Danio rerio: one gene and its partners. The protein of the gene in region 3 interacts with the protein of the main gene of each other region in a pairwise test. Links are inferred from orthologs where the notes say so. Each region holds a gene or a part of one and is shown on either strand. Other genes may lie near its edges.

Evidence for each region.
Region 1: the proteins of keap1b (region 3) and dpp3 interact in binary tests that used the Homo sapiens proteins (3 or more experiments, as listed by UniProt). The two-hybrid records come from large-scale screens. The link is inferred for Danio rerio from reciprocal best matches to the Homo sapiens genes KEAP1 and DPP3.
Region 2: the proteins of keap1b (region 3) and nfe2l1b interact in binary tests that used the Homo sapiens proteins (3 or more experiments, as listed by UniProt). The link is inferred for Danio rerio from reciprocal best matches to the Homo sapiens genes KEAP1 and NFE2L1.
Region 4: the proteins of keap1b (region 3) and ccnb1ip1 interact in binary tests that used the Homo sapiens proteins (3 or more experiments, as listed by UniProt). The two-hybrid records come from large-scale screens. The link is inferred for Danio rerio from reciprocal best matches to the Homo sapiens genes KEAP1 and CCNB1IP1.
Region 5: the proteins of keap1b (region 3) and rela interact in binary tests that used the Homo sapiens proteins (3 or more experiments, as listed by UniProt). The link is inferred for Danio rerio from reciprocal best matches to the Homo sapiens genes KEAP1 and RELA.

Annotation. Positions count from the first base shown.
Region 1 is NC_133196.1:30,380,221-30,386,794, reverse strand, and holds the start of dpp3 (dipeptidyl peptidase 3), read right to left. Parts: upstream 3,580-6,574; 5' UTR 3,509-3,579; intron 3,064-3,508; 5' UTR 3,033-3,063; coding exon 2,763-3,032; intron 2,678-2,762; coding exon 2,588-2,677; intron 2,053-2,587; coding exon 1,915-2,052; intron 1,820-1,914; coding exon 1,745-1,819; intron 760-1,744; coding exon 669-759; intron 533-668; coding exon 399-532; intron 289-398; coding exon 158-288; intron 1-157. UniProt on the Homo sapiens protein: Cleaves and degrades bioactive peptides, including angiotensin, Leu-enkephalin and Met-enkephalin. Also cleaves Arg-Arg-beta-naphthylamide (in vitro).
Region 2 is NC_133187.1:30,687,932-30,694,555, reverse strand, and holds the start of nfe2l1b (endoplasmic reticulum membrane sensor NFE2L1b), read right to left. Parts: upstream 4,458-6,624; 5' UTR 4,148-4,457; exon of another isoform or gene 4,069-4,147; 5' UTR 3,776-4,068; intron 3,471-3,775; 5' UTR 3,192-3,470; coding exon 2,640-3,191; intron 1,775-2,639; exon of another isoform or gene 1,524-1,774; intron 1-1,523.
Region 3 is NC_133181.1:202,513-209,296, forward strand, and holds the start of keap1b (kelch-like ECH-associated protein 1B), read right to left. Parts: upstream 3,673-6,784; 5' UTR 3,656-3,672; intron 2,562-3,655; 5' UTR 2,313-2,561; coding exon 1,998-2,312; intron 1,413-1,997; coding exon 1,167-1,412; intron 1-1,166. Other genes in the region: s1pr5b (sphingosine 1-phosphate receptor 5b), read right to left, coding at 5,893-6,784. UniProt on the Homo sapiens protein: Substrate-specific adapter of a BCR (BTB-CUL3-RBX1) E3 ubiquitin ligase complex that regulates the response to oxidative stress by targeting NFE2L2/NRF2 for ubiquitination.
Region 4 is NC_133182.1:19,532,864-19,539,540, forward strand, and holds the start of ccnb1ip1 (E3 ubiquitin-protein ligase CCNB1IP1), read right to left. Parts: upstream 4,494-6,677; 5' UTR 4,085-4,493; coding exon 4,062-4,084; intron 3,846-4,061; coding exon 3,542-3,845; intron 1-3,541. UniProt on the Homo sapiens protein: Ubiquitin E3 ligase that acts as a limiting factor for crossing-over during meiosis: required during zygonema to limit the colocalization of RNF212 with MutS-gamma-associated recombination sites and thereby establish early differentiation of crossover and non-crossover sites.
Region 5 is NC_133182.1:1,069,345-1,074,657, forward strand, and holds the end of rela (transcription factor p65), read right to left. Parts: intron 5,269-5,313; coding exon 5,164-5,268; intron 4,905-5,163; coding exon 4,689-4,904; intron 3,591-4,688; coding exon 3,513-3,590; intron 3,217-3,512; coding exon 3,112-3,216; intron 2,639-3,111; coding exon 2,331-2,638; 3' UTR 1,976-2,330; downstream 1-1,975. UniProt on the Homo sapiens protein: NF-kappa-B is a pleiotropic transcription factor present in almost all cell types and is the endpoint of a series of signal transduction events that are initiated by a vast array of stimuli related to many biological processes such as inflammation, immunity, differentiation, cell growth, tumorigenesis and apoptosis.

The DNA of each region.
Region 1 (6,574 bases), on a different chromosome or scaffold from region 3:
TTTAATCCAGAGTTGATGAAAATGTTTATAATGACTGTTTTGAATAACACATTGGAACTGGGTTGGACTTGTTTGGTTAACCTTTGGCTCCACCTACACTGAAACTCAGCTATTTTTATGAAATGAGTCACAGCTCTGTTAAATATGGGTCAGTCACCTCTCCACAATAGGTCCTTTGTCCTTGATCCAAAAACGGGACCCTTCTTTATGGGCTTCCACTGAGCCATAGGTAAAACTGCGGATATACTCTTCCAACATCCTTCTCTGGTTTTCATCAGCTGCGTTAACCTAAGACAAATAAACAACTTTACTTTAGGCTCCAAAGGTCTAACGCCATTCATTTTACATTTAAAAAACATCCCTAAATCTGTGTTTTCTTTATTTTAATGACATTACACCTTGGCTTTCTCCAAATTCTGACAGACTTTCTCCATAAGAAATGAATAATCGCCCCTCTTCACACAGAACACAGCATCCTCAAATTCAAATCTTCCACAGCACGTTTTACCTTCCCCTTCTTCGGCACAACAGTCTATAGACAGGAGAAAAAATAAATAAATAAATAAATAAAATAAATAAATATCTTATCCAAAATAATACACATAATTTATTCAGAGTTTAAATAGTTCAATGATAAAATCCAAATATAAACTGTTTTTAATACTCACCCTCCGTCTTTGCAGAGGCCAAACGCACCTCATAGCACCGTTTCCCATCTACTTCTGTCTTAAACAGACGGGTGTTGTAGGCACTCAGGTTCTACAAGAAGAAAGAAGTCCAAGTGTGAGAGACCACTATTGAGAAACTGTGCAGATATAGCCACTATTAGTAAGAAAACAACAAAATCAAATTTATAAAATGGTGCAAAATGGTAAAAAAAAAAAAACTGATGATGGACTGTGAGATTATTATTTAAAACTCTGGGTGATAATTTGGCTTCTTACTCTCACTTTAAAAAAGTGCATTATTGTATACAGTTCTCTGCATAGTTAAGTACACCCCATTTTGAGAATTAATATTTTTATCAATTTCTCAGTGAATATAGACAATGTATTTTGGTGCATTTAAACAAAACAGATTTATTAAACAGATATATTTATTGAAATAATATTTTAGTCACCGGGCATCTTTAGAAATAGAAACATAACACGATTAAATTTAAGCAAAGTATTGAAAAATAAATTTACAACCTACAAAATTTCAACTACATTAATTTTTTTGCTTCTCTTGATTTTTCCTCTTTTTGAAAACTGTATTTAATATATATATATATATATATATATATATATATATATATATATATATATATAATAAAAAATAATTTAAAAGAGAGATTTATGAGGGGTGTACTTATATATGCTGAGCACTGTATATGCTCTAAAATGATGTATTGCTATTAAGAACAGGCTTAAGATGTGATGAGTAAGAAATTAGTTCTCCACAGGAGCATTTTAAAGACAACAAAATTGAACAAATGGTAAACTAAAATGTAAACAACAACTGGAGCAAAATAAAACAGGGTGTAGAGTGATACTAAAGCGATTTTAAGGCATGGATTTTTTTAAATGCTTAAATGTGTCTTATATGAGAAAGATGATGAGTTTTAAAATATTAATACAGTAACTTTCATTTATATTAATATTTGACAAAATGTATATCAGGCATTTATAATAAAAAAAGCATGATAGTCTTTAAACAGTTTTTATCTAAACAACTTGCAGGATCTTTCACTGGTGTACAATACCTTGGAGTCCAGAAACTTCTGGGCAAACTCTGCATCTTCTAAGCAGCAATTCCCTGAGAAATAAGCCGTGATTCCCTAAAAAAATAATAACAATTAGCAAAATGTAAACCTAAGATGATGCATAATAAATGCATAAAGTCATATTGTAATAGGATTTAAACAGATTTTACCTTCTCACCCAGACCAAGCTGCTTCTGCTTTTCTTCTAGAGAGTAGAGGGGCTCACAGCAGCTGTTCCACAGCACTTCTGTGCCACTGGGATCCTCCTTAAAGGCCAGACTCTCCCACACCAGAGCCTTGAACTTCTCCTGCATATACAAAATATGCACAGTTATCAAATACTAAAAGTGTTGAAACATTATCCACACATGGAGTGACAATCAGTTCACCCTAACATTTTAAACATTTACTTACGTTCATGTTGCTCCAGTCCAAAACCATGAGAAATTTCACAAAAATTAAGATATTTTTAACATTAATGGGAAATAAATCTATTCAACTAAGACTCTAAATGCGTCAAAACATTTATACAAGACAAATCCACATAAATAAAGGGGTTTAATCTAAGTTTTCCAAAAAATAAACTGAGAAAGCATGATTAGTTAGAAAACTTAAATCAAACCACTGATATGATATGATTTTTTTGATATGGATTTATTTATTATTATTATTCTATATTAGATTTTGGTGAACAGACAATCAATGGAGGGGCAGAAATGCGCTAAATTTTAAGATATCTTAATTTTTTTCAATCATGAACAAATGTCTTGTGTATTTGGAGCAACACAATGAAGAATAATCATCATCCTGGAGCAAACAATCACTTTAAGTATGGTATTTCACCTTTGGCAGGTTGGGGATAAACTTGGTGTCTCCAAATGACTTGTAGTTCCCCATGTTCGCAAAAAGCCCAGCAGCATATACAAGGAAGGCCTGGAAAACAGACAGAACATTTTTGTTACTGCAAAGAACACAGAGAGAAGATGTTAACTTTGGTGTTTGCATCAGGACATTTCACCTGATATTCCTCTGCACTCAGTCCAGCTGCAGTCGCTGTTTCCTGCATCTGCAGTGGCGTCTGTGCACGGAACATTTTTTGCAGCAGTACGTAGATCTTGGCAGACTCAGGAGATGTCTGGATCAACACGACCAGGCCACCGTACCAGGCCGCCCGAGAGAGGTAGTGTGCATACAGTTTCTCTTTGGGAGACAGCAGCTTGAAAGCCTCCCGGCAATCCAGAGCAGAGATCCCAATGTCGTTTGGGAGGTAATACTGAGAGTCCACCATTTCTGATTACAGGCAGCTTGATTTCTCTCCACTGAAAACCACAAAAGCATACATAAATCACTGATCAATAATGTCAATATGTAATAGAACAAAAAATAACCTGCTTATTATTACCCATCTGAACTTTATGTTGCACAAACACACAAAGCTAACACAATCCTGTAACGTTAAGTAAATACTTTAATCTAGGGGAAATGTGTAGACATAATGTCAGAAATGTGTCTTTAATGCTGAAAGGTGAATCAGCCCAGATTCTGTGGGTTTCTGTTTCACTTCTGGAACTCAACTGATCAGCTAATACTGTTAACGTTAGCACAGTTGATAGTGGAGGAAAGCGGACAATGAACAAACCTGTGCAACGGAAACATATAGGCAATAACTCGCTATACAAACATCCTGTTTACTATTAGAGCGAACATGGGCTCTCTCTGTAAACATTTTAAAGATATTATCAACGCGCGTGGAGCAAGTTCTACCTGAATTGTGCGTTCACTCCTGTCAAAAAAATGAGAACCACCACAAGTGTACGATTCTACTTCCGCAACTCATTCAATTGAATGACCCGCCTCTCGACCAATCAGACGGTAGAGAAGATTATTGACTGGCGTGACAACCAATAGGAATAGCAAATGAGAAGAGGCTGGGATCGAAAATGAAATAAAAGTTTCGTTAAATGCAGTTTTAGCATTTTACATTTAATTATAAATCATAAGTGTCTCAACACAATATATTACCACAAAAAAGCATTATTATGAGCATTCTCGTTATAGTGAACTAAAACAAGTTGTTATGCTAGCTGAGCTCCATGAGTTCTTGTGGAAATTATCGTGCTTTGTTTATCATCACTTAAGTGCTCAAAGTGGACTTCATTTCCCAGCAATCAAAAATAATTTCTGTCAACAGGAAATTGTCCATCTTCATGGTCAGAATAGCATTTCGACCACCCAGGATCGGGTATTTGTTTATTATGCCGTGGTTTGCTTTCTCGACTCGTCTTGCCAGATAAATAACGTTACATATTGCAACCTTTTAGGTGTTAATAATTAAATAGTTCAGCCCAAATAAAGCTTACATAAAAATATAAATTGAAATAATTATTAATAATTTCTTGAAAATTGCTTACTTCAATGTAGCATAAAAATGAACCTTCAATTCGTGATATTAGGTAATATTTTTTTTCCACAAATTTTAATTACAATATTCCCTTACTATTCTATTATTATTATTTTTAAATAGCATAACTTCAAAACATTGAAATCAGCCCAGTGTTTATTCCGGTTGTGGGAGGCTGGCATACATCTTAAGGATGGAGGTCAATATGGAGACAGGGCATCAACTCTGTCCCGATGGCGCCAGATGAGTAGATAGTAACCAGCACCTACAGATTTACCATTGTCATCAGTTTCAACAGTACATAAGAGTTTTTCTTTTTTCTCGGGAGGGATAATGCCAAATCACAGATTTTTAACAGATTTAAAAAAATCAGTCTTTTGTATTGTTTTCTGTTTTTTTATTATTGTTATTTAATTTAAGATAATGTACATTTAATTTAAAGATAAATATATATTAGGTGGCTAAGTATCAGAGATGACATGCATGTCTGCACATTAAAAAAGCAGCATTGCCAACAAGCTTCATCTCAGTGAAAAAAGCTGTGGTTTAGAGCAAGCCAATCACAGAAAGACAATGTCAATAAATCAAATAGATCCAACAGCTTATGGGGCAGCAGGTCGCCTGTTGCTTGCATGTTCATTCTCCAAGAGGAGGAGATGAACAGTGGAAATCAGAGAGCTTTTTACACAAATAATTAAATTGGTTTACATGCTTGTGATTCTGTTTTGGGTTTTATGCTAGTCAAGTAAGCTATTTGATTTTGACTAAAATATGCTTTGAGTTGGATGCTTATATTTACTTTTCAGATACAATTCCAATTTGAAAGCGAAGAGCTCGTCTGCAGTGATACCAACAGTGAAATGTATCCTTCCAGATATGTTTGGGAAATGGACTACTGTTACAAGCCTAGACTCAAATATGGTTTTCAGTGATCCGTGAGGAGAATGGACAACTGTAAGGTAATGTTTCAAGCATTTTCATATTTGATTTGAAGGGTTGGAGATATTGCACCTCAGAGGTTGCAAAATGTGTCATATTTGCAGTATTTAGATTTTTTAAAGAATGTATTTACAGTCTTTTTTCCTAAATGTATTTTTGTGGTTTGCTTAAATTACTGAACTATAATTGTGTTTGGTCTGCAGCCAGTGCCACAATCTCGTGACACTGTCTGTATTTATATGATAGTGCCAATTACGTTTTTATCTAACATAAATGCCAGCACACAGAAAAATGTGATTTTACTTGGGAACTAATATAGATGTTACATTATTTTAAAAGTGGTAGTACTTTTCCTGGAATCATGAGAGTCAGTTATTCAAACCCAAATGCTTATCTACATGATCAGAGTTCTCAGAAAAGTAAAAGACCATCTTGTTTTGACAGATGCAAACCTACTGGTGATTAATGGCCAACTGTCACATGGAACATGAAGGGAGGGTCTTTGGTATAAACACAAGCATGTCCTCAGAATGCAGCCAGTGATCTGTGAGTATGTTAATTTATCCTAACATGAGCGAATGCCACCTGCTAACATGCCTTACACAAGATCACTTTGAGTCATCTATAATTTTGAAATGACTTCAATGAATTTGGAAACAGGAGGAGAAGACTGCCACGGAAAAGCTAGAAGAAAGCAAACATTTATCGAGCAGAAGAAAAGGAGGTGAGTACAATAAATGGTAAGAGCTTGTGCAATAGAAACCTTAAATGTTGACACGCTGTGCATTCAGAACCATGCTAAGTTCTTCAATTATGAAAACAATGGGCATCATGAATGATTTTACATGGCATGCAAATCCTGATCGTCATTGCTTTTGCAAATAACCCACATATTTATATACTCAAACAACAAATCAGCCAATTTAAAAAAGTCACTATGCAAACTTTAAGATAATAGTGAAATATTTGGCAACGGTTTGCATGCCACCATACTTTACCAAACTAAAGCTAGTCCATGGAACATTTAAATGCAAATGTACAAAACAAACATGTGTATCTTTGCACTATGTAGTCTGACTGTTAAATAACATAGCAAAGATTTTAGATAATAATCAGCATTGCTTAAAATTAAATGATTTCCTATTCCATTGAGGCTGCATTTACAGCTAAATTTTATCTGTGACTAGTCTGAAATACTGAAGCCAAATTAAAATACTATTTATTTATTTATGTTGTAATTTATCTGATTTCTATCAGAAGGCAGCAATAATTTAAATGGAAGGGAAACAAGCATTTTAAAGTAAATGTACTTCTGGATCAGAGATGTCCAAACTAGGGCCTGTGGGCCAAAGTTGGCCCTTGGTAACCTTTGATTTGGCCATCACATATAAGAAGAACAGGAAAATGATGGGGAGGGTTGGGGTGAATGCCTTTAATAGAGATCGTAATTTCTATTTTAACGTAACGTTTCTTGTTTGTTTTATTGATGA
Region 2 (6,624 bases), on a different chromosome or scaffold from region 3:
ATGCAGACCAACAGAGACCGCGTGCAGAAGTATAAATGCACAGCTAAGCGCGTTGCATGCGCCGTGGGTTACGCCGATCACTTGACGCAGAAGTATAAACCAGGCGTAAGAGGGACTTAAACCACAAGTAGGTTGGGTTTAGGTGGTGCAGATACAGTATTAATAAAACACATCAGGTTGCTGTGAGGTTGGGTTTAGGGTTGGGGTAGGTGAAGAGACATTCATAAAGCACAATATTGAACTCAGTGTCATGTAATAGACATTAAAGGTGCAGTAGGTGATTGTATTCAGAAACATTTTTTGTTGTGCTGGTTGAAACTCTCTTTACAGTCCAATAGTAATGATTACAGTAAATGATCAAAATGTGTTTATATGTATTTTTATATTCTGGGTAAAGGATAAAACTCCGCTCGCAGATGCCCAGTCGGAGCCGGAGGAGCCGGAGGACAGCCGAGCTCGGACCGATTACTGTAAAGCCAGGCGCGGGTATAATTCGCTCTTAAAGCGGCCGCACGGTCACGAGACGGACCGGGAGAAATCAAATGCTGAATTGAAATTTTTAAAAAACTGAATCAATACTGGAGTTACTTTAGCACACTGGAGGAAGGACGACACCATGGCTGAAGTATTACTGTTAGACAGGTAATTCTGTTTTAAAACTATTTTATGTTAGATTGTGTTTTGTTATGAATGACTTATATGCACAGACGTGTTGTTCAGCCACTAAATCTCCCGGTGAAAGATTGATGTGATTATTTTCAGTTTTATAAGGTTCTTTGACAGCATCTATAATGTAGATTTATATTTAGTTTAACAACAAAACACCAGTAAATAGCTTAACCTGCTTTATTGAGCTGAAGCTGCTTTTATATTCACATTGGGTCATTTTTGAACAACGATAGCCTTCCTATACTGTTTACCATGCTACTCTGAATATTAGCTCTGAAATAGCATGTAACGTTAAGTGTGGCTAAGTAATAAATGTAATTCCTGCTCAGCGCTGGCACTAACTAACTGGCGAATGACATGAACTAGTGGGTTGTCTGTCGCCTGTTGTGACCCGGTGCACGCGCTTGCGATTTCAGGGGGTGTGGCTTTGAATCACAGTCCCTCCCCGCCGTCCAAAAATAATATGCTAAGCGGTTAGCTTTTTGGCAGATCACCTACTGCACCTTTAAATAAATAAAAACTCCAGGTTTGCACAGCCCACTTAAAGCTCAATCCCACATACTTGGAGCTGGCTCTGACCTATGAGTATACCCTTCTCATATGATGTGCCTTATTTGGATGTAGGCATGGGACAATAACAAGTTTTAAAGGTTTATTGTGGTTTGGAAAAGTCAAGATTTTAACACCCCTAAAATGTTCTGTTATATCAGGGCAGGAGTGGGCAAACTCAATCCTGGAGGGCCGGTGTCCTGCACAGTTTAGCTATTAACACTAATCAAACACACCTGTACAAGCTAATCAGTGTCTTCAAGATCACTAGAAATCTATAAGCAGGTGTAATTGATTAGAGTTGTAGCTAAACCGAGCACGACACCGGTCCTCCAGGACCGAGTTTGCCCACCCCTGTGTTATACGATTCCCAAAATATGCAAGGCAGGAGTGCACAAACTTCCAGTAAAGTTTAGTTCCAACCCCAATCAGACACACCCGGACTAGCTAATCAAGCTCTAATCAGACTTTTTTAGATACATCCATGCAAGTGTGTTGAGGCAAGTTGGAGATAAAATCTACAGGACACCGGCCCTCCAGGAATGAGTTTGGACAGGTTGGACAAGTTTTTTTTGTGTGTTTTAAAACAATCTGTGTTTTTAAAACTAATTAAGTGGTCAGAAGTCAATCATTTATTTTAACTATTTAGCCTGACATATTTACTGCTCCAAAATGTTATAAATGTTTCTTTAAAAAAAGTGTTCAATGTTTTTTTTTTTTTTTTATTAATCAATTGACCTTTTTTACCCAGACATTTTAAAAGAACTTATTTAAGAGCAGTAATCACAATACCATGATACCATGGTATTCTTATCCAAGGTATCTTCCCATCAGAAACTTAAACCAGCCCATGCCTATTTGGATGGCACAATATGAACTTTAAGCTGCAGTGTAATTGTGGTTATCTTAAATAAATGGGATTATATCACATAACTATAATAAGATGTTTAATCAATAATCGCAAAAGGTCTACAAAAAGGTCTAAAAAAAGAGAAAACTTCTTTCTCAACAAAATGAAACACTACATATCCTGTGAGATCCTGACAACCATATGAGTAGACATCCTCTATCTAAAAGGCAAATCATCAGTAAATACAACAACTAATCTATACATACGTCATTAAAAAAAGCTGTGATTTTGCCAAAAAAATTACCATTTCCAAGCTTAAAAACCTTAAGATTAGCACAACTATCTAGCTTTCAGAGCTCTATCAATGAGACCACACCCTGTCCAGCCACTATTGAAGGACTCAAACATACAAGCAGTTCACAAACATTGCTTTTAATAGCCACTATTCAATGGCCTTAATCTAATATCGAGAGATAATAGCATAACGCTGTTCTCCCTTTGAAGAAATCAAATACGTTCCAACGTCAATCTAATTACAGCAGGCTAAGCTAAAAACACACAGCTACTGTACCTCTTTGGAGAGGTCGTCGCTGCTCTCTCTCTCCCCTTGCTCCTGGCTGTCCTCAGGGGCCACGGCTCCCAGGCTGTCCTCTCCACTGAGGCTGTAAGTGGTCTCAGAAGTACCGCCAGCCCCTCTCATGGCCGAGGCTTCGGAGTTGTTCACGTCCTCCAGGCTGCCCCCATTGTCCAGGGCAATGCTGGGGCCGGACTGACTGGTTGCCGAAACCACAGTCTCAGGGTCACGATGCACCAGCCAGGCACTCAGCTCCGTGCTAGGCACACGCAGATGATCCAGCGAACGCACCTGGTTCAATAGCCGACGAGTGGCAAAAAAATGGTCCAGATCCACACTTTTAGGATGGATGCCATAGCCGTCCAGGGTGTTGCGGAGATTGTGGAACTGCGTCTGGGTGTAGGCCGAGCTGGGGCCCAGGATGATCTCACGGAGCGGGGGGAGCTGATTGTTTAAGTAAGTGTCCAAGTCCACTCGTACCCCAATCAGACTCAGGAGGATAGTGAACTGAATAAGACCCTCTGTGAAGTACTTTTTCAAGTAAAGCATTTCTTTGCAAAGGAACAAAAAAGAAAACTCAAAAAGCAACTAAAAAGCAAAAAAAAGAAAAACAAATCACGCAAACAAACGTCAAACCAAATTAGGTTACGTTTAACCTTGTATATAATAAAAAATCAAAAGCAGACACAACATAAAATGATGCTCGCTTTGTTCCACAGTCATGTGCTTTTAATTAAATACTACTAAAGTTGAATCCACTTTTGTTTTTGATTAACGCTTTTGCGCCCCAAATAATATCCAGGTTATATCTGCAAGCATGAGTTTTTCCTGCAAACATAGAGAAGAGAAACAATAGTCAAAATGCCATTATATTGGCATGAATAACAGCTGATTATGATTGCAATGAAAGATTGATATAAATTAAAGAAACATTAAAGTTTACAACTTGCAGCATGACTTATCATGCTATACAAATCAAGTTTTATTATAATATCAATAACAGAGTAATATCAATCTATATGTCACAGACCATTTTTGTTTTATATGTTATAAAACATTAATACATTATGACCTCCCACTAAATACACCCACCTCATAATCACACCCACATCCATCCACCCATCCCTGTATACCTCAAAAAACGTGATATCCTTAAAGGAATCCCGCATGTTCGCCGTCAATAACAGCAGATCGGTGACTGAACTCCGTCGTTTATTGTCTATTTTCACCACATCCTTCTAAAACCTCGTCTAAAGACAATTTATTTGTCCAGGCGCTGTGAAGTATTGACCTCTCACACTTCCGCTATCGGAGCCCAGCAGCCCGTTAGCAACAAGTGGCGCAACAGCCTCTGATTGGCTGAGATGGCTGTCACTCATTTTCTCGCCGCGCTGCAGCCAATAATGAGGCGGGGCCTGACCGGGTTCTGCCGGGGACACTGAATTACTAATAACAACTTTTATTAAATACCCATTTCTGTTTATCGGTCAAACCTAGCCACTTACAACAATTCCTGTAGCTCAAGCAACGTTGTCACGTGCATTTGCTGCAGACACACCAACACACACTCCCACATTCGCAAATACGAAAGCTATAGCTAACTTAGCCAGCTAGCGTAGCATCAAAATAGTCGTTTTTTCATACTTACTCAGAATGAGTTTACTGACAAATGACTCCGAATACATCCATATGCATTCACAACCACTGTCATTAGTCACTTCCAGCTAACCATGCACTTATCCCCTCAGATATCTGTATGGTTGTCACTCCCCTCTCGCTTTGAATGGCCCACCATGACTTGCAGAATTTCCTCTTGCCGACAACTTGGCCGAAACTGAGGCGCTGAAACACGCTGCCACTGCGCAGGCGTAGAATATTCTAGCGAACATACGGCATGAGATCATTCATCAGAATTCCCCGTTGTATTCACAGCCCATAAATAATACGATACATTTTTAATTAAAACAATTAGATTTATATTTAAGATTTATATTAGATTTATATTTAAGAACTTGCGTCATTTGTTTTTTACTATTGTTTTTAGTTTTACATGTATTGTGGCACCCTTACCAAAAACACAAAACTATTGACTATAGCCTACCTAAAACGCAGCATTAGGAAAAGTAATGGCACACACATAGTATACGTGTATTATTTTTTTAAAATTAAAAGTCATGTCATGTACGTCATTGTCTGCCGGTTATCCAGGGCCAGGTCGCGGGGGCAGCAGTCACAGCAGGGAAGGGAATCCCGGACTTCCCAGACACTTTCTTCAGCACTTCAAGGGGGATCCCAAGGTGTTTCCAGACAAGCAGAAACGCAGTCCCTCCAATGTCCAGGGTCATCCCCTGGGTCTCCCTCTGATGGGACAAACCACCTCAACTAGCATCTCTTGATGTGGAAGAGCAGCAGCTCACCTCACCCAAGAGCTCCTCAACTTGTCTTAAAGGCTGTACCACTATGCGAAGAAAACTCATTTCAGCTGCTTGTAGGTGCAATCTTGTACTTTTTTCATGACCCAAAGCTTATGACCAGGTTAGAGAAGCCATAGATTGAAGAGTAGCCTATATTTCGAGCTGTCCCTTCACAACAACAGACCAGTACATCAACCGCATTAGTGCTGCTGCTGCACTGATTCTCCTGTCAATCTCACTTTCCATCCTTCAACAACTTGTGAACATAATCCCAAGTTACTTGAACTCCTCCACCTGGGGTACAGACACTCTTCCAAGCAGGAGATGGCAGGCCAATTTTTTTCAGTTGAGCACTCTGGCTTTGGCAATGTCACAAACCATCCCAGTGCATGCTGAATTTCCAGGTTTGATGGAGCCAACAGGACAGCATCAACTTCAAATAGCAGAGATGAAAACCTGTGGTCCCCAAATCATCCAGGGGTAGCACATCTTGTCAAATTCAAATGTTTATTAGAATAAACTACCGGTCGAATAAACACAAAAAGTTCATATGACATTTGAAGCTGACAAGATATGTGTTCTACATCCTTATCTAAAGCGGTAGACATTTGAAGCTGACAAGATTCAATTCAATTTGTTTATTGTCATGTGCACAGTAAGGAAACACGTTTCCCTGTACAATGAGATGCTCTATACTGTTTTTATTTTTATAGATTAAACATGACAGACTGAGCAACCAGTAGCACATTCTGAGGGTGTACAGATCGTCAGAACAATGCAAACCAAACTCCTGCTTCGGTCATATAGAGGCAAGACAGCCCTTAACAGAATGTCTTGTACACTATAAAGTCAACAAAGCAACTGTGAAATAGACAGGTGAACTTTCACAAACCCTCGAGCACCCTAGAGAGCTGGTCCAGTGTTCCACGGCCAAGATGAAAACCACATTGCTCTATACTTTCCAGTATCCTTGCATCCTCTTGGATGCTGAGAAGTGTAGTCCCACTGTAGTTGGGTGCACAGCACTGTTCCCGACCTCCACATGATGTGGTAGAGGTAGTGCAAGGCTGCTGGGGTGGATAAGACTATCCCTGAGTACCTCAGTCTCTGGATGGGGTGGGGTTGTCTTAGTTGACAACTATTAAACATCGCTTAAAAAAGTAATGCATCAAATAGACTAGCTGTCAAGCATTTTATATGAATTTTTATATGAACTTAAATTGAAATCCTTTACTCTAGTATATTAAAATAATATAAATTTTCTGTATATAACGAAATTAAGATTAATGGTGCTGGAAAACAAACAGTGTGCGACTCATATTGATGAGCAAGAGGGGTACATTTTTTGGTAGTTTGGTAATGCATGCTTCAGTGAAACAAATTTATGAATGTATTTAAATTACATCTTATTTATTAATAAAATGTATACATTTTCAGTGTTTTCAGGGATATTTAGTGAGTATTTTAGAGGTTACTGAAGGTCAAACTATGCAAATTATTTGTTTAATTGTTCTTTTTTAACACTACATGCAGATGTAAACACCAATTTTACAAGAAAAGTGTTATGT
Region 3 (6,784 bases):
GACACACACCGCGCGCGCATGTTAGAGTTGGGGTATTGGTGGTGAGGGCATGCTGTTGGGGGGTTTGGGTTAGGGGGATGTACGGTGGTGCAAAACAACAACACAGACTGAAACACTTACGAAGCTCGAGACAAAGGTAGACTCTGGAAAACATTTTCCCACGATAAGACGCAACTACAGAGGAGAAACCATCTCCCCAAGGAGAAACACAAGAACAAGACCCAAAACACTGTTAGCAGTGCCCAAACACACTTACAGGCACACGCAGAGGGAACGCTCCACACACCGGGAAATATCTATAGAGTCACGGTTTGACCTGCTGCGATTAAACATTGTTCTTGTTCTTGTGTTTCTCCTTGGGAAGATGGTTTCTCCTCTGTAGTTGCGTCTTATCGCGGGAAAATGTTTTCCAGAGTCTACATTTGTCTCGAGCTTCGCTTCGTATTTGACATGAAACGCACATTTTACTCATATATGTAGCGTGTATATGCCCATGAGCTGCCCAGGCGGAATCTGCACACGGTTTTGCTTTTTCTGCACAAAATTGTGTTCAAAATCTGCGGATTTATGTGTAATTATTTTAGGAGTATCATGACTAAAACCCTAATATATGAACTAAAACTAATCCCTTTAAACTTTAATTTCATGTTTACAATGCAAATCCATACAGATCCACTTTATTTGGTAAACAAAGCCAGTCTCTCGTATCATATCTCTCCTGAAGACATGACTGCACACTGCGCTGTACATAAATCAGATCAACATTTTCAGATCAGTCAATAATATTACAGAATAAGTACAGATGTACACACACTAACTCAAGTGAATAGACAGAATCAATGATGAGCTAAACATCTGCAGAATTCTGCGGGCCCGAATCCTCAGTGATCCCGCCGGGCTCAGATCATTTCTCTTTCTCACTACAGTCCATCTGCTCCAGAGTTTTAACTGAACCTCAGTCAGGCGATCTCGGACTGATTGATTTGGTGCAGATCCAAGCACAATTGCTGGATTCACATATGCCAAACGAGCCGCGCTGACTGGACTAACGGGACGGTTCCGAAACAGAAGTGTGGGTGTGAAAGCCCCTTATTGAGGCCTGAACTCTTGTGTTGGTGTGTGAGGGGTGTGAGAGCGGTTATCCTGTGTGCGTCGGCCGCTCTGACCTGGCTGAAGTTCATGTAGATGTACTCTCTGGCCTTCTGGTGGAGCTCCGTGCAGCCGATCTGCTCGGCGAAGCTGGCGATGCCGATGGCGTTACTGGGGTCCAGCTGCTCCACCAGGAAATCACAGCAGGCCTGAACCACGCTGTCGATCTGGTACATCACGGCGCCGTTCATCACGTGGATCACACACTTCTCACCCACTGAGATGCTCGCCGTGTACGCAAACTCAATGAGCCGGCCCATGACCTGGAGACAAGAACACACACGCACACACACACACACACACACACACCGTTTCTGAAGTGGGCACACTGAAAGGCACAGGTCACCTATAATGAACATGTCCTCCTCCTTTCCTCACTCGAGCGCTTCTACAGCTTCATCAGTCTCTGATACTCTGAGGAATGCTGGGAAAGCAGCCGCTGACGTCCACAGCAGGAACAGAAACACTGCTGCAGTCATCAGCTGCTTCCTCCAGGACATCTACCGCTGTGTTCAACAGAAACTCAAACAGGTTTGGAGGAGGAAATGAGGAGAGAGAACAGCTGCTGTCACTGATCACCTGACCACTGAGCTGTGTGTGTGTGTGTGTGTGTGTGTGTGTGTGTGCTGGAGCTCAGGAGAGGAGCTGTACACATTCAAGACCATCACTGTATCATGATGCAACACTCACACAAACACACACACTCACACACTCACACACTCGCACACACACACAGCTGGGAAAACTGCACTACAAATCCAAATTCCCATTTATTATTTTTTCCTAGTGTGTGTGTGTGTGTGTGTGTGTGTGTGTGTGTGTGTGTGTGTGAGTGTGTGTGCTGGTACCTTGGGGTGTATCCCCTCGATGGGCACCACCTCCATGCCGCACTCCTTTAGGCCGTTGGTGAACATGGCGCGGAACACAGGCGAGGACGAGGCCAGCACCACCTTATGCGCCACGAAGTCGACGTGTGTGTCGAGCGGGCAGTAGCGCACGCGGAGTGTGACGTCACACAGCTGTCTCTCGCGCCGCAGCTCGTTCATGATGGCGAAGGCGGCGGCCGTGTGGCTCTCCAGCGTGTAGCTGAAGACGCGGTGCCCATTGCTGGCCGACGGCGTCACCTCCGCCTTACACTCCGTCATGCCCGCCGCCGCCAACATCAGCGCGGGCACATCCTCACTCGCCAGCGCAGCGGTCACGAGAACACACACACACCTGTGTTAGAGACACGCACACATCATACACACACCGCTCATCACCAGCAGGAACACACGCAGAGGAACGCTCACATATCTGTGTTCTCCTGACCAGTGTGAACACACACACACACACACACACGCACACACACGCGCCTGTCAGTCAGTCTGTAGAGGAGGGCAGAGCTGCTGATCTGTGTCTGCACGCGAATCCTGAGGGGGAAACACACACACACACACAGAGAGAGAGATTAGAACAAACACTGAGGATTCACCACTGACTACGATAACACACTCTGCCATGAATGATCAGGAGTATCACACACACTCTCACACACACACACACACACACACACACACACACACACACACACACACACACACACACTCTCTCTTCTGTTGGACTCAGGACTGGTTCATCAGATCTTCGTCAGTGATTTGATCAGAACTAATGAGTTTCAGGAGTTCCTCCTGTCGTTAGCAGGAGTCTATCTTCTGCTTACACACACACATACACACACACTGACTACACACACACTGTCCTGCTGTCAGTGAACCAGAACACACTCTGATCCACACTTAGTGTGTGTGTGTGTGTTTATGAGTGTGTTTTTGTTTGTTTATGAGTGTGTGTACAGGTAAACAGAATCTCACACACTGTTAAAAATGCAGGCTTCCACACAATTCATTCATCTTGACCCAACACAAGTCGATTGAGTTAACTCAACACATTTAACAAATGCGTGTGGATTGAACATAAGAAATTTAAGTTCTCACAAATGAAACCTCAAGAATTGTGTTGTTTCAGCTCATTTTAAATAAGTAGTTTAAAAGAGCAAATATATATGCAGCAGGTGTGTGTGTGTGTGTGTGTGTGTGTGTGTGTGTGTGTGTGTGTGTGTGTGTGTGGTTCCAGCTGTCTGCTAGGTTTATTTTAATGTGTTTCTGTCAATTTGCTGAACTGAAGTGTTTATCTCCGTTTATCCTCCTCACCCCGGCTCTACAGTCATGCTTTAATTTGATTTCCGCTGTTTTCAGCTCTTATAATAACACTAAGAACACAAAGCGCGGTAAATACACATAAACAGCGAGAGGCCTGAGATCCCCGGGCTTGAGTTGAAACGGCACCGGCCCCCGGCAGCGCAGATCCGGCCACACTCAGCAGCGGCGCCGCGCCCGAGCGGGAAACCACAGACCGAGGCTGAGGAAAAGTTCAGCGCTACGCGACCCGCGCTTTAAATTATTGATGGAAACGCGAGCCGACCTCAAATCAAAACACTTTATTCGTGTTATTACCATGTTCTTACCGCGTTATAAGCCTCCATAAACAACACAGTGATCAATCAGGAATAAAGATGAAGATTAATAAAGTTCATCATGAGCTGATCTTCATCAATAAGGAGACAAGCCGCCATCCTCATCCTCACAGCTGTACATCAGAAACTGCATCAACACGAGCCTGTAGATCTGACAAACGCGGCAGTAATGTCGATTAAACACAGTAAACAATGAAAACACACTCACGGGCATCAGCAGCAGCGCACGGACACTCTCTCTCTCTCTCTGTGTGTGTGTGTGTGTGTGTGAGCACTTCTGTGTGTATGTGAGTGTGTGTACTTGTGTGTGTATCATACCCACTGAAAGCAGAAACTCAGCGTGACTAAGCATTAGCTGGCCTGTGTGTGTGTGTGTGTGTGTGTGTGTGTGTGTGTGTGTGTGAGATGCAGTACTGATGTTGGACACGAGGTGTCGCTACAGGTCAATAGAGCGGGCTGCTGCTGGGCTGTGTTTGAGCTGTTCTGCTGTTGGCTGTTCTGGGATCTGTGGTTCAGCTGACTGAACAGCTTCTGTTCTGTTCTGCTCCAGTGTGATCATCAGAGGAGGAGCTGAGCTGAGCTGAAGCTGCACACATCTCATGCCTATACTGGATCCAAAACACGATCAGTAAAACAGTCCGGCTCTCAGTGAGCAGAGCGGAGCGACAGATGGAGGACTACATGCAGAGTTATGTGTGTGTGTGTGTGTGTTCAGCAATTAACATTTTACACTGAAGGACACACACACACACACACACACACACACACACACACACACACACACACACACACACACACACACACACTGCCTCTCCAGTCTGACTTTCATTAATGAGTAAATAAACATTAAAATCTTTGTAGAAGAGCCCAATCTGTGAACAGCTGACCTCTGACCTCTGACGTGCCCGTCTACTGGAGCAGCGACTCACACTCTACTGCACTTCAGTCTGACACTCACGGCAGAGCAACACACACACACACACACACACTGGTCAGGAGAAGCTGAGAGACACACACACACTCTTCACATCTCTATTTTAATATTTCATGAGAAGTTCCAGTTTTGACAGATGACTAAGCTTGTGTGTGTGTGTGTGTGTGTGTGTGTGTGTGTGTGTGGGTAAGAAAGAGAGAGTGTGAGCGATTGAGAGATGCCCGTGGTTTAGGTGTGACGGCTCTGAGGTTGGTTTGAGTGTGTGTGTTTGTTTACGGTAAACAGTGTAAAGGTGAGCTCTGTGGTGTTTCCATGTTTGTTTGTGTGTGTGTGTGCTTGTGTGTGTGTGTGTGTGTGCATGTGTGCAACAGCAGCCCCTCTGCAGACGCACAGCTGAATTTGCAGTCACCCACATGTGTTTGTTGGTTTCCGACACGCACACACACACACACACACACACACACACACACACACACACACACACACACACACACCACACACACACACTTGTGTTCTGAGCTTTTAGTTTTTGTTTCTTCTGATGATCACCATCCCAGAAATATTTGGAGTAATTTTGGCAGCTCGTCTCCTCTCTCCTCAACCCTCACACACACACACACACACACCTTCACACTCCTCCATTCTGCCGGCTCTATCAGCCTTTTTCCTCACAGAGACCCAAAATAATGTCCCCATGAGATCATTTACTGGTATTGCTATACTTGTGGGGACATTTGGTCCTCATAAGTGATGAACACCAGATAAACTGACCCACACATATGAAGCAGCTGTAGGTTATATTCTGTCTGGGTTATTCATACATGATTTATTATACAATAAAATAGAACATCATTTATTTACACGTTAAAGCAGTAAAGCGTCCCCACAGCGCTGACACACGAGCGGCCGCAGACCCCACAGACCCCGCAGACCCCGCAGACCCCGCAGTCTGCTCAGTCCATCACGAGCTCATCCAGCTGCGCTGACCCTCAGTTCTGCTGCTGAGCGCTGTGGAGCCAGAGCAGAGACAGCACCACAGCCAGGACATCTGCTCTCTCTGAAGCTCATCACACTCAGTCTGAAACACACATCTGCTGATAGAGATCTGCAGGTGTGTGTGTGTGTGTGAGTGTGTGTGTGTGTGTGTGTGTGTGTGTGTGTTGACCTCCTTTGAGGCTTCTGAAAGGGTTTTTTGCCCCCGTGTGAGTCTGGTGTCCAGAACACTGCTCAGTTCCTGCCGTGTGACGTGATGTGTGTGTGTGTGTGCGCATGTGTGTGTGTGTGTGTCTCAGAGTCAGGTGATGACGGACAGCCGCAGTTTGGGGTAGATGGACTTGTGTATGGACGTGGCGTTGGCGGATGAGAGTGTGTTCTGCAGGCCGTGGCGGTGTGTGTCCGGTGTGCAGCGGCAGCACAGCAGCTTCAGCACGGCGCTGCGCACGTCTCTGCTGCTCAGCGTGTAGATCACGGGGTTCAGCAGCGAGTTCAGCATGGCCACGCCCAGGAAGTAGTCGGCCTTGAAGAGGATTGGACAGGCTCTGGCGGGGCAGGAGACATCCAGCAGCAGCAGCGCGAACAGCGGCGTCCAGCACAGGATGAAGGCGCCCAGCACCAGCGCCACCGTCCGCAGCAGCGCCATGTGTTTGCGGGACCGCTGCGTGTGTGTGTGTGCGTGCGTGTGCGCCCTGACCAACAGGAAGATGCGTGTGTACAGCAGCACGATGGCCAGCAGGACGCCGCTGAGCACCGACACGCAGAACAGCACGTAGCTCTTGGCGAACAGCGGCAGGACGGTGGAGCACCAGCGCAGCTCCTGCAGGCAGTTCCAGCCCAGCACCGGCAGCGCCCCCAGCAGCACCGCCAGCGCCCAGCTCAGCCCGATCAGCGCCCGCATGCGGCGGCGGCGCCTGGAGCTCTGCTGCGGCCTGGAGCTCCGCATGGTGCAGGCGCGCTCCACTGCGATGGCCAGCAGACACAGCACCGATGCCGCCAGCGTCACCAACACACCGGCCTCCCGCAGGAACCACAGCGCCGGCGTCAGGCGGAGAGTGTTCCGGCCCGACAGCACCACGTTCAGCATGTAGGCCACGCCAGCCAGCAGGTCCGATAGCGCCAGGTTGCCCAGCAGGTAGAACATGGGCATGTGGAACCTCCTGTTCCTGCGGAGGGCCAGCAGGACCGTCAGG
Region 4 (6,677 bases), on a different chromosome or scaffold from region 3:
TTAATTTTTAAAACCATTTTAAGGTCAAATATTTTTTCGATTGTCTGAGGGTTAAAAACAAATCTAAATATTGAGAATAATATTTTGAACAATATATTATAACAATATAAAAACTTAATTTGAACAACTTTAAAGATGTTGTTAAAATTAAGTTCTTCGCAATGCATAGTACTAAACAAAAATTAGTTTTGATATATTTACAGTAGGAAATTTACAAAATGTGTTCATGGAACATGATGTTTACTTGATATTATAATAATTTTTGCCATATAAGAATAATAGAGCCATGTAATAACAGATATACAACTATAGAAAACTATAAACAATATATGGTTTTGTGGTCCACGATCACATATATGATTGAAACTACACAACTGTCGGCCAGTCAGGGAGTGTCAGCAGGTAGAGCGTTTCGTGGGCTTTAATCAGGTGGCCTCATCTGATTGGCTGCTGGCTAACATGAATCACAAATGTGCCATTATAATATACAGTTGAAGTCAGAATTATTAGTCCCCCCTGTTTATTTTTCCCCAGTTTCTGTTTAACAAGATTTTTTTTCAAGACATTTCTAAACATAATAGTTTTAATAACTCATTTCTAATATAATATATAATAATAATTTCTAATTTCTAATATTATCTTTGCCATGATGACAGTAAATAATATTTGACTAGATATTTTTCAATACAATGGTAATCAGCTTAAAGTGACATTTAAAGGCTTAACTAGATTAATTAGGTTAACTGGGCAAATTAGGTTATTTAGGTAAGTTATTGTATAATGATGGTTTGTTCTGTAGACTATCTAAAAAATATATAGCTTAAAGGAGCTAAAAATGTTGTCCTTAAAATGGTGTTTAAAAAATATAACTGCTTTTATTCTAGCCGGAATAAAACAAATGAGACTTTCTCCAAAAAATATATATATTATCAGACATACTGTGAAAATTTCCTTCCTCTGTTAAACATTGTTTGGGAAATATTTAAACGATAAAAAAATTCAAAGAGGGGCTAATAATTCTAACTTCAACTGTATCTAGTAGGCTTGGGCGGTAATACGGTATTATGGTATACCGCGGGATCTAAAAATAGCAACGGTGTCAGTTTCAATACCGTTATACCGTCATAATATATTAAATATCCTTTATTTAATGCCTACAAAAACGTATATGTGGTTGTCATCACGGGACAGTGTGGAGGATAGAGAGAGAGAGGAAGGGTGAGAGAGAGGGGGAGAGGGAGAGGGAGGGGGAGAGAGGGAGAGGTGACGTGACGTGACGTGACGAGTCGCGCTTCAAAGTGTCCTGCAGTTTGGCAGTTTCGACTGAACAGAAGGGAGACGTGGTTAATATGAACGAGAGGTCTGCATTAGAGCTGAAGATCTTTGCCCGAATCCGGCGAGACCCGAAAAAATCCAAATCCCTGCATTAAAATAAATCCCTGCAAAGGTGAAACAAATGATGATGAAGTAGTAAAAAAAAAGGTAATTTTGACGGCGGTCAAGTCAGTCACTAGCTCAGAAAGAGCGGTTATTCCAGCCGCAGGTATTTTGCGGTCGCTCATACACTGCGTATTACGGTAGAGCCCTAAACCGCAAGCAGGTAAAATGACGAGGCCACTCCGCTCGCTACACTTAACCGCTGTCATGGAAAATTAAATGGATGTTCCTAACTGGTAGAAGATAACCAAACAATCCTACCCAAAACTTGCAAAATCAGCCGGATAAGAACTCTGCATCTCGACCTGTAGCCGCAGGAAAGGGTGTTCAGCTGCTGGACGCACATGAGCGCAAGACTGCGCTAAAACCAGTGGATTTAATAATGTTTCTCCACAAACACACGTAGCCTAATCTTGGTGCGTAAAGGGTTTTTAAAATATAAATAAATATTAATTAAACCATATAATCATAATGAAGAAAGAGTATACAGACTAATGGTGGCATTATTATTTTAATATTCAGCTTCACCGCCGCCCTAATGCCAGATTGTGAAGAGAAGTGGAGAAACATCTTGCACCGCCTTTATCTTAATTTCGTTATTGCCAAAATACCCGTCATCATTTAGAGTTTATTTTAATTTGATTTGTTAAGCAAGATTTCTTTTCATTGGTGTGTTGGCCAATTTAAAGGCTTAGTGCATGTACCTAGACCTATAGAGTGCTGAGATGTTACGATGTTACAGAGGACTTATTTTATTTATTTGTTCCAACTTTCAAGTGGCCTATAGTCTGCGCTTGTTACGAATAAATAATGTTAAAACATATAAATGACTCATTCTTGAAAAAATGCATTAGAGCTGTGTGCATGAGCACATTTGAATAATGTCGGGCTGTAAACAGGTTTGGGCTTGATAAAGCTGTCAATCAAAATGTACCTGTCGGACTCGGGACCTATCGGGTATAATTTTTATGGCCCGATGACAGCTCTCTGCTTTCCCGCTGCTGTTCCGCGGGAGCCGGCCAGATTTCTTACGGTGTGGGAGCAAATTTCTGAATAAATCGCGGGAGAGATGTGTGTGTGTGTGTGTGTGTGTGTGTAAGAGAGAGAGAGAGAGATGCTGTGCGTTGCGTCGCTTCTCTCTCTCTCTCTCTCTCTCTCTCTCTCTCTCTCTCTCTCTCTCTCTCTCTCTCTCTCTCTCTCTCTCTCTGACCGCGAGCCTAAGGTCGCATAGAAGTTATGCAGTTTCTGAATGGTTTAGGCTCAAGCCTACAGTTTGGTGACGCTGTCTGAGCCTTACGTCATTTTTTTTTTTTTATTACGCCGGTAATACCGGATACCGGGGTAAAATATGGAGGCGGTTTGACGGTTTTAAAATTTGGATATCGCCCAAGCCTAGTATCTAGTTTTTACTCGGGACAAACTTTAAGACAGTTTGATATATTTTTAGAATATATAGTTGAAGTTAAAAATATACATATATATTTTAAATGTTTTACAAATGATGTTTAACAGAGCAAGGAATTGTTCACAATCTTTCCTATAACATTTATTCTTGTGGAGAAAGTCTGATTTGTTTTTGGTTTTTTTGGCAAGGATAATAATAATAGCATTTTTTTAATTTAAAAAAGAAAAATTTTCAGGTCACCATTAAAGTCATTTTAAGCATTTTTGAATATTACAAATTCTTTTTTAAACAGAAATAATATACAGGGGGCTAATAATTCAGGAAGGCTAATAATTCAACTGTATATATCATATATCTTTGTTAGGATATGACACTGCTTGGTGGATATAAAACTATTTGAATATCTGAGGATACAAAAAAATTCTAAATAATGAGAATAATATTTTGAACAACCTAAAAGTTGTCCAAGCTTGTTACAGTTGTCCAAAGTTACTAGCAATCCATACAGCAAAAATGAGTTTTGATATATTTACAGTAAGACAAAATGTGTTCATGGAACATGATGTTTACTTGATATTATAATGATTTTTAGCATAAAAGAAAAATGGAGCCGTGTAATATATGATATACAACTATATAAAACTGTAAGCAATATGGTTTTGTGGTCCACGGTCACATGACACCACACAATCATCAAACCTGGTAGATCCAAAAGTCTATTGCTTTATGACTGATTTCCAAAACGGTTTCAGGTTGTAGTCCGACCAGAACCATAGCTTTGTATTGCTCGGATGGGGTCAGCTCGGTTCGCAGGACGTCTAATTTGCCGGAGAGCATGGAGGAGCAGGCGGGACAGACGGCGGGGGTGCGGCTGAACTCCTCTGAGCCGTGCTGGTCACAGAAAACATGGGAGCAGGCCGTGACCCAGGCCACACCGCTCAGCTTCACCCGGCATTTGTGCGAATTACACAGCAAGGTGAATTTAGATGCAGACATGCTGGTTCTTGAGGAAGGAAATAGAACATGTATTAACAGCAGGGTAGTTACATACGGTTAGAGCTGGTGGTGAAAACGGCGAAAAACAGTTAGCAAAGACGCATTTCCAAGCTATTTCTTGCTTCCTGTTCAAATACTAAAGCTGATATTAAATTGTTTTAGCGGTTAAAAATGTATATCGCTCTTTACACTTATGTAACTTGCTAATGTGGTGATATTTTACCGTGATTTTGCGATTGTGTTCATTACAGTCAGTCAGGGAGTCTCAGGTAGAGCGTTTCGCGGGCTTTAATCAGGTGGCCTCGTCTGATTGGCTGCTGACATGAATCCAAAGAGCTCTTTGATGAATCTCAAAAGCGCCGTTTAAATAACTTTATTTACTCTTGACAAACTCTTTAGACGGTTTGGTAAAAAATAATATGTTTATGTAAAGAAAGAAAGAAGAAATCACGTTAACTGGTCAAGTAAGTAAAACACACCAAAATATGTGTCTTTACTTTTCTTGATAATGGAGTTGGACGGAGTGTAGTTGCATTATGTTTACAATATAGCAGGCAGGGGGTTTCAAGCTCAAACGCTACAGACCCACAATTGTGATAATATTTGTTCAAGATGAAATGTAAAATGCATCTGCATCATATTTTGCATAAAGACCATTTTAATTGTTAATAATAATATAAATGCGTCTGAAAATTAAAGTTTCAATTAACCCTTAATTGGCCCACAGGGTCAAATATTTTTTTTATGTCCCCTTTATCTCAGGGGCTTGACATTCTGTGACTTTTCCTAAATAATTTAAAAACAAAAAAAGGACTTCATTTGGTTGTTTTAAAGATGTGAAAACAAATCATCATCAAGCTCATCTCAGTCAGACTGAAGTCACATTAGAAATGAATGGGAAAAGTGAAAAAAACTTTTAGATTCATTTGTCCAAACAAAGTTGTAAACCCTGTTAAATCTGAAATGTTTTACATTTCTAATTTCTAGGATGTAGAGCACAAATGGAAGATGAATCGAACATTATATATCTCTTGCACACACACAAACACGCACACGCATGACTACAAATCTACAAATCTTAGGGCCCTATCATACACCCGGCGCAATGTGGCGCAAGGCGCGACGCAGTTGTTGTTTGTTCGTTTCAGATTGATACAAGAGTTGTTTTGACGTTTTGCGCCAAGCTGTTTAAATAGCAAATGCATTTGCGCTCATATGTGCGTCCATAGGCGTTCTGATCTAAAAAAGGAGACGTGTTGAGGCGCGTTGCTATTTTGAGAAACTATAATAGTCTGTTCTATAGACCACATTGTTGCCAACTTAGAGACTTTGTCGCTAGATTTAGCGACTTTTCAGACCCCCCTAGCAACAAATTTTTTTAAAAAGTGACTAGCGACAAATCTAGCGACTTTTTTGTGTGTTACTGGAGATTTTTATAGACTGTCATTTGTCCATACTGTACCGTCCCTACTCTTCTCAACGAGCTGAGGGTGATGCCGCCGGCCCCTCCCCCGCCTCAGACCACTGACAGGCGGTCCAATCAGTCCTCATACAGCAGCCTCTTCCACCTGCAACCTCACCCCTCTGTGTACCGACAGCAAATGATTTTGCTCCGATCTGCTTCTGGTTTATTTTAACAATTTAATTTGACTGTTTATTCTTTTCTTGTTCACAATCACAGATATTTTAAGTGACAGTTTTGGAACTTGTCTGAGCTTATTACACCAGAGAGATTACTGCAAATTCATTACACATCTATACTGATATATTGTGTTCAAACAGCAATAAACTTAGTTAAATTGACATGCTTACATAAAGCGTAGTGCTAATATAAATACTCCTTATTGACCATAGGCTGTTAAACAAACAGAAATGGTAGAGCGAGATGACATCAGTAATATGCAAATTAACGTATGATGTAATGTAGCGACATTTAGCGACTTTTCGGGCAGAGCCTAGCACCGAGGAAAATCGCAACAGTGATAGACCAGTACAAAGCCGGTCTATTGTCCAACGCAGAGCGCGTTAGTTGTGCACCTCGCTTACACACTACTTAATACACACAAGATGTAGAGCCATACACAAATATCTTTATATATGAAAAAAAAATTCAATTTTAAAGATATATATAGGATATAATAAGGATATATACTATGGGATATAAATATAAAGAATTAAATATTATAAAACATTATTTTCATATAAATATAAAAACCATACTTTCATGCCTTCTTCTTCTCCGGCGCCTTGTGCCACATTGTGCTGGGTGTATGATAGGGCCCTTAATGTTTATATATAAATGAAGAACTAATACTAAAGCACAAAATCAACATGGAACAAGCATGTTCACTCTGACACACTCACACACATACCCACACACTTGACTCTTGTTTTGTGTTGGATTTATATACTTTTTAATTTAAATTTCATCACTTGCTCTTAAAAAATAAATCAATTATGATAAAAAAAACTTCTGAAACAAATAATATGTGATTACAGTCATGTCCTAGTGGTGACTTGTTACAATTATGCACATTTAAACATAATAATCTACAAATGTAAATATACATAACATACATTTGAGGGGAAAAGTTTTCTAAAGCATCAAGAAAAAAATATGTGAAAATTAATGAGTCTCTATGGACCCCTGCTGGATATATGTGGAAATTGCACTTTCTTTTTTTAACAATATTTAAAAAAAAATTTTTTCTTTGACCTGCAGATGGCAGCATTCTATCCCTAAATATGAGGCAGAAACATTTAACAATAAAATTTACATCAGAATTTCATTCATTCATTTTCCTTCAGCTTAGTCTCTCTATTCATCAGGGGTCAACAC
Region 5 (5,313 bases), on a different chromosome or scaffold from region 3:
TGATTGGCTACTTTTCATGTCAGTCAAATCACGCTTCAGAATCAATTCTTAAACTTCGGAAACTGATTTTCAGCAGCTAATGTCACAAAGCACTAAAATAAACATTCTAAGCACAGCATTGTGATCGTACGCTTCACAAAACAGACAATGCTGATCACATCGATGTTAGATTACGCATCAAAGGATTAAAAGTGTTAATTGTTTCTTTCATTATTTGCCGATTCCTCCGCGTACCACTAGGAGGAAGCCCGCGTACCACTAGTGGTACGCGTACCACAGTTTGAGAACCACTGGCCTACAGCATGCGGATCTCTTTGCTTGTGCGCCGATTTCCTCAGCTCGTCCACAAAACTTCTTGCACGCCCCTCAAATATACGCCCCTTCAAGAGCGCGCAGATCTTCTTGTGCGCTCTCAAATTAACACTGCTGAAGTGCGATTTAGTGCGTTTGTGTAGTGAGTATGTCTCCAGCATTTATTAGATTTGCTAGAAATATTTATGAATGTCTCCAATAGATCTACAGAGCGATACAGAGCGATATTTATACGTTGTGGCCTCACGCATCAGTCAGTCAGTCAGCACGTCATCTTAAAGGGTTAAACAAATTAGGCACAGCACTACTGCGGTTACAGAAATGTTTGCGCTGTTATAATTCACTTACCCTTTACTATGTTTTGGTGCGATTATTACCCGCTATTAAAAAAATGAGAATGAGAAGCTGTAATGTAGCCGTGGCGGGTTGAATTTTGGCATGGCGTCCCGCTATAGAAGATTAATGTAGCGGAAACCATGCACCGTCATATGCATTTAACTTGACGCTCAAAAACGAAAGTTGCAGGCAGCAGTTACATTACTTCACCTGTAGGTGGCGACAACCAGCCATCAAAAATACGCCTCTGAATAATTCTTAAACATTGGTCATCTAGCAATGAAGCTTTATAAGTGAATAACTGAATCAATTATTGAAGATAAGACTAAATTAATTAAGAATGTTCAAATAATGATGTTAGACTTCTACATTTAGCGTCATCAGCAACAGCAGCAGTAACAGTAAATTTCCCACAGCACTGAATATTTTAGTTTGTTGTTATTCAGCTGATTATTTCTTCTATGTTATTTTTAATAAATCACAGGTTCTCAGTTCTGTTTGTTAAAACCTAAAGTGTCTTGCAGTGCTGTTTCTGTAATAAATGGAAAGCAAACTACATTTGTCTCCCCCTTTATAGCTTGTTATGGGTTTGTGATTGGTCTTTTCTGTTTCCTGGTTTTGCTTTCTTTTTAGCTGCGTCGCAAATGGCACACTATACACTATGCACTCATGCACTATGTACTTATGTACTTACACACTCAACAGGACAGTATATGTATGTAGTGTCGTCCCAAATGGAGCACTAATGTTTTTTTACTAAGCGGAAATTCAAACCGTTTCCCTGATGACGTGTGACAGTCGCCAAATCAGTGAAATAAACAACAGAATTATCTAATAATACCTGCCGTGAGTATTGCCGCATTCACCATCGGGAGGCGCTATACTCACTCTCATAGGAGAATTTTGCTTTCACCATCCAAAATAAATAAAGTTATCCAACATGTGCGTCCGATAGCTCCGCCCCTTCCGCTACGTAAGCAAACCTGCGGTCGTTGAGTGCGTGAAGTGTCCATCATTACACACTTCATTATACTGGCTGAATGAGTGCATCATCCGGGTAATTAAAGTGCACTTATTATTCTTAGAGTTTTCAGTGTGAACACACTACTGACACTATTTATACTACAAAATGAAGTAGAATAGTGCATAAGTATGCGATTTGGGACGCAGTAGATGTTTAGTAGGTGACTCAGTATGGTGCAGCATGTGCGGCTAATCTTCTGGCTTATTAAAGGAGCTTCTAAGATGTGTTTGGGAGAATCGTTTTTTGGTTTGACTTTGTTTGGCTTACCTACTGCTTATATTACTTTTCTTTATTTTGAACTTTGCTCCGATGTAATCTGATGTTGTTTTGAACATTATGGGGAATGTTTTGATATGGTTACTTAAATTAATTTGGTTATTTAAATTGCTTCCTTGTCCTCAATTGTGAGTTGCTTTGGATAAAAGCGTCTGCTAAATGACTAAATGTAAATGTAAAATGGTTACTCTGATTTCTCTTTGCACTTTATGTTATTATTTTGTCTTTGTAACCTTTAAATGAATATCTCTTAGCAGTTTTTCATTCAGCTTGGTTTGGTTCCCTTCTTTTTGTTGCGTGCTCAAGGCGGCACATAACAAGCTGATCCAAAAAATGGTCTGATCCGTGACAATGTGATGCAAACCATGAGATCTGTGATGCGTTACACTAATAAGAGCACGTGTGTGAGGTGTGTGTAATGCAGTGTGTACGGGTGCAGGACAGTATTCTCTCCCCTGGCTGCTGTTATCAGCCTTGCATCCCTACCGGTGGAAACGGTTCCACTGGGAAAGGGCAGCACCGGCACCGCTTTGGGCTGGCTGTCCACTGACATGGCCTGCAGATACTTCCAGATGTCTGAGGAGGATGCCGGCAAGGGTGAGGGCTCCATCTTTTGCTGGGTGAAGAGCTGACCGGGGGGCGGAGAGAAAAAGGAGGTGGGTGGAGGCTTCAGTGGAGGAGCGGCGGACACTAGACAGACACAGAGAGAAAACAGCTCAGCACACTGTTTAAACCACAGCTCTCATGCAGAAATCACTCTTGAGATGTTGTGTGTGTGTGTGTGTGTGTGTGTGTGTGTGTGAGTGTGTTAGTCAGGTGTGTGTCCTCCTTAAGCGTCTCCTGTGTGTAACACTAGTGTCCTCTACATCTCCTCCTTCTGTTGTGATGTCTGACTGTTGTAGCTGTGTAATAACTCTGATCATTCAGTGGAGTGATATGGAGCTGTATTGTGCTCTAAACCTGCCGGAACTACTTTAGCTGTGCCTTTATCTGACAATAACCAAACACCTGAGAGTGACCAGCAGCCAATCAGAATCCAGCATTCAGCAGAGGTGATGTGTAAATGGTAATGAGAGATCAGTGTGTTTGATTGAACAGAGTATTGATCAGTGTGTGTTACTCCGCTGTACACACCCACGGTCGAGCGGATGAGGAAAAGTTACCTGCTGGTACACTGGCTGGTGCACTGGCTGCCACTGGCTGTTTGGAGACAGGTAGAGTTCGTTTAGCCGTAGGGAATGGCCGTCTTTCAGCAGACATCGAGGACCCTACACATGCACGCACACACACACACATTGACCAGAAGACAGACCTCTGAGCTATTAGTAAAATGATATCATGTGATGATCATTAATACACACACACACACCCACACACTCAATAACCACGTACACACTCATAAGTGCGCAAACACAGACACACTCAATGACCCATACACATTCATTAGTGATTAGCGAACATACAAAAAGACACACAGACACACACTGACCCCACGCAATCACCCACTGACACACACACACACACACACACACACACACACACACACACACACACACACACACACCTGTGATGATACTGCTCAGCTTGAGATTATGCAGCATTCCTTCAGTTCTCTTGCGCTTCTCCATCAGCCGGTGCTCATCTGCTCATTTCACACACACACATACACACACACGACAAAATATTAAATCATCTCATTACATTACACAGAATATGCAGTAATAACAATGTAATAATGCTGTAATAAAGCAGTAAGAACCCAATAACAACACTATTAACACCGTAATAATGCAGTAATAACACAGTAATTACTTGGTAATGTCACAATAACTCAGTAGTAATGCTGTGATAATGCGGGTACACAAAGATAACAGTAGTATTACTGCATTATTATCGTGTTAATAGTGCTACCACAGTAAGAAAACAAAGAAAATGCAGAAATAACAGTGATAATGCAGCAATAATGCTGTAATAACTGCTAACACTGTATTTATGTAGTAATCATGAATTAACAAAACTATATTACACCCTAAGATTGCAATAACACTGTAATAACGCAGCAATAATGCCATGATGAAGTCATAACAGTGATAACAGTTATAACAGTGATAATAATGCAGTAGTAACAATAATAATGCAGTAATAATGCTGATAGTGTGATAATGTAGTAATAACATTGTAAAAATTTTATTAATGAATTAACAGTAATAACGCTGTAATAATGGAATAATGCTGTAAAACACGTACACATTGCAGTAATAACACAGTAATATTGCCATAATATTGCTGTAATAATGTCATAATGCAGTAATAACGTAGTAATAATGCGGTAATGTAGTAATAATGCTGTAACAACACTTAATTAACACTGTAATGATGCAGTAATGTATTAATAATGCAGTAATAACAAGTAATTAACCCCGTAATAATGCGGTAATGTAGTAATAATGCAGTAATAACACTCAACACCGTAATAATGCGGTAATGTAGTAATAATGCAGTAATAATACTTAATTAACACCGTAATAATGCGGTAATGTAGAAATAATGCATTAATAACACTTAATTAACACTAATAATTCAGTAATGTAGTAATTATGCTGTAATAACAGTTTATTAACCATAATAATGCAGTAATAATACTTAATTAACCATAATAATGCAGTAATAACACTTAGTTAACACTGTAATAACTAGGTATTAATGCAGTATGTAATGGCAACACTGTAATAAAGCTCACCCGGGTCTGAGGGCAGGTACTGGAAGTCCATGGGCTCGCTGACCTCGCGGTCAGATGGTCTGCGCAGCTGCATCTTGACACGCAGCGGCTCGGTCAGGTTAGTGTCGCAGTAGGGCGGCGTGCGGAACACTATCGCCACCTGCCGGTGCACATCAGCCTGAGAGAACGAGCCCTTACTCTCCCACGAGTCCAGGAAGAAGCGCACCTCAATGTCCTCTGAAACACACACACACACAGCATTTTAACCCAGCCCTATGAACAATATTAATACTGAAAATGATCAGTATAAATAAATATATGAATGAATCAAACGTTCAGTGAGACAGTATATGAGCGATGCTGAAACAGGCTGTGTGTGTGTCTCTGTGCTTTTGTGTGTTTATGTGTCTGATTGAGAGTGTGTGTTTGTCTTTAAGTATCCGTGTCTGTCTCTGTATTTGTGTGTGTGTGTGTCTCTGCAGTGCCACACACACACCTTTCTGTACTTTATCACACAGCAGGAAAATCTCGTCTCCTCCTCGACAGCTGCCGGAGTTTCTATTGACACGGCAGATCTTCAGCTCAGCAGTGTTAGGAGCTCCTGCAGGACACAAACACAGAGTTACACACACACAAACACACACAT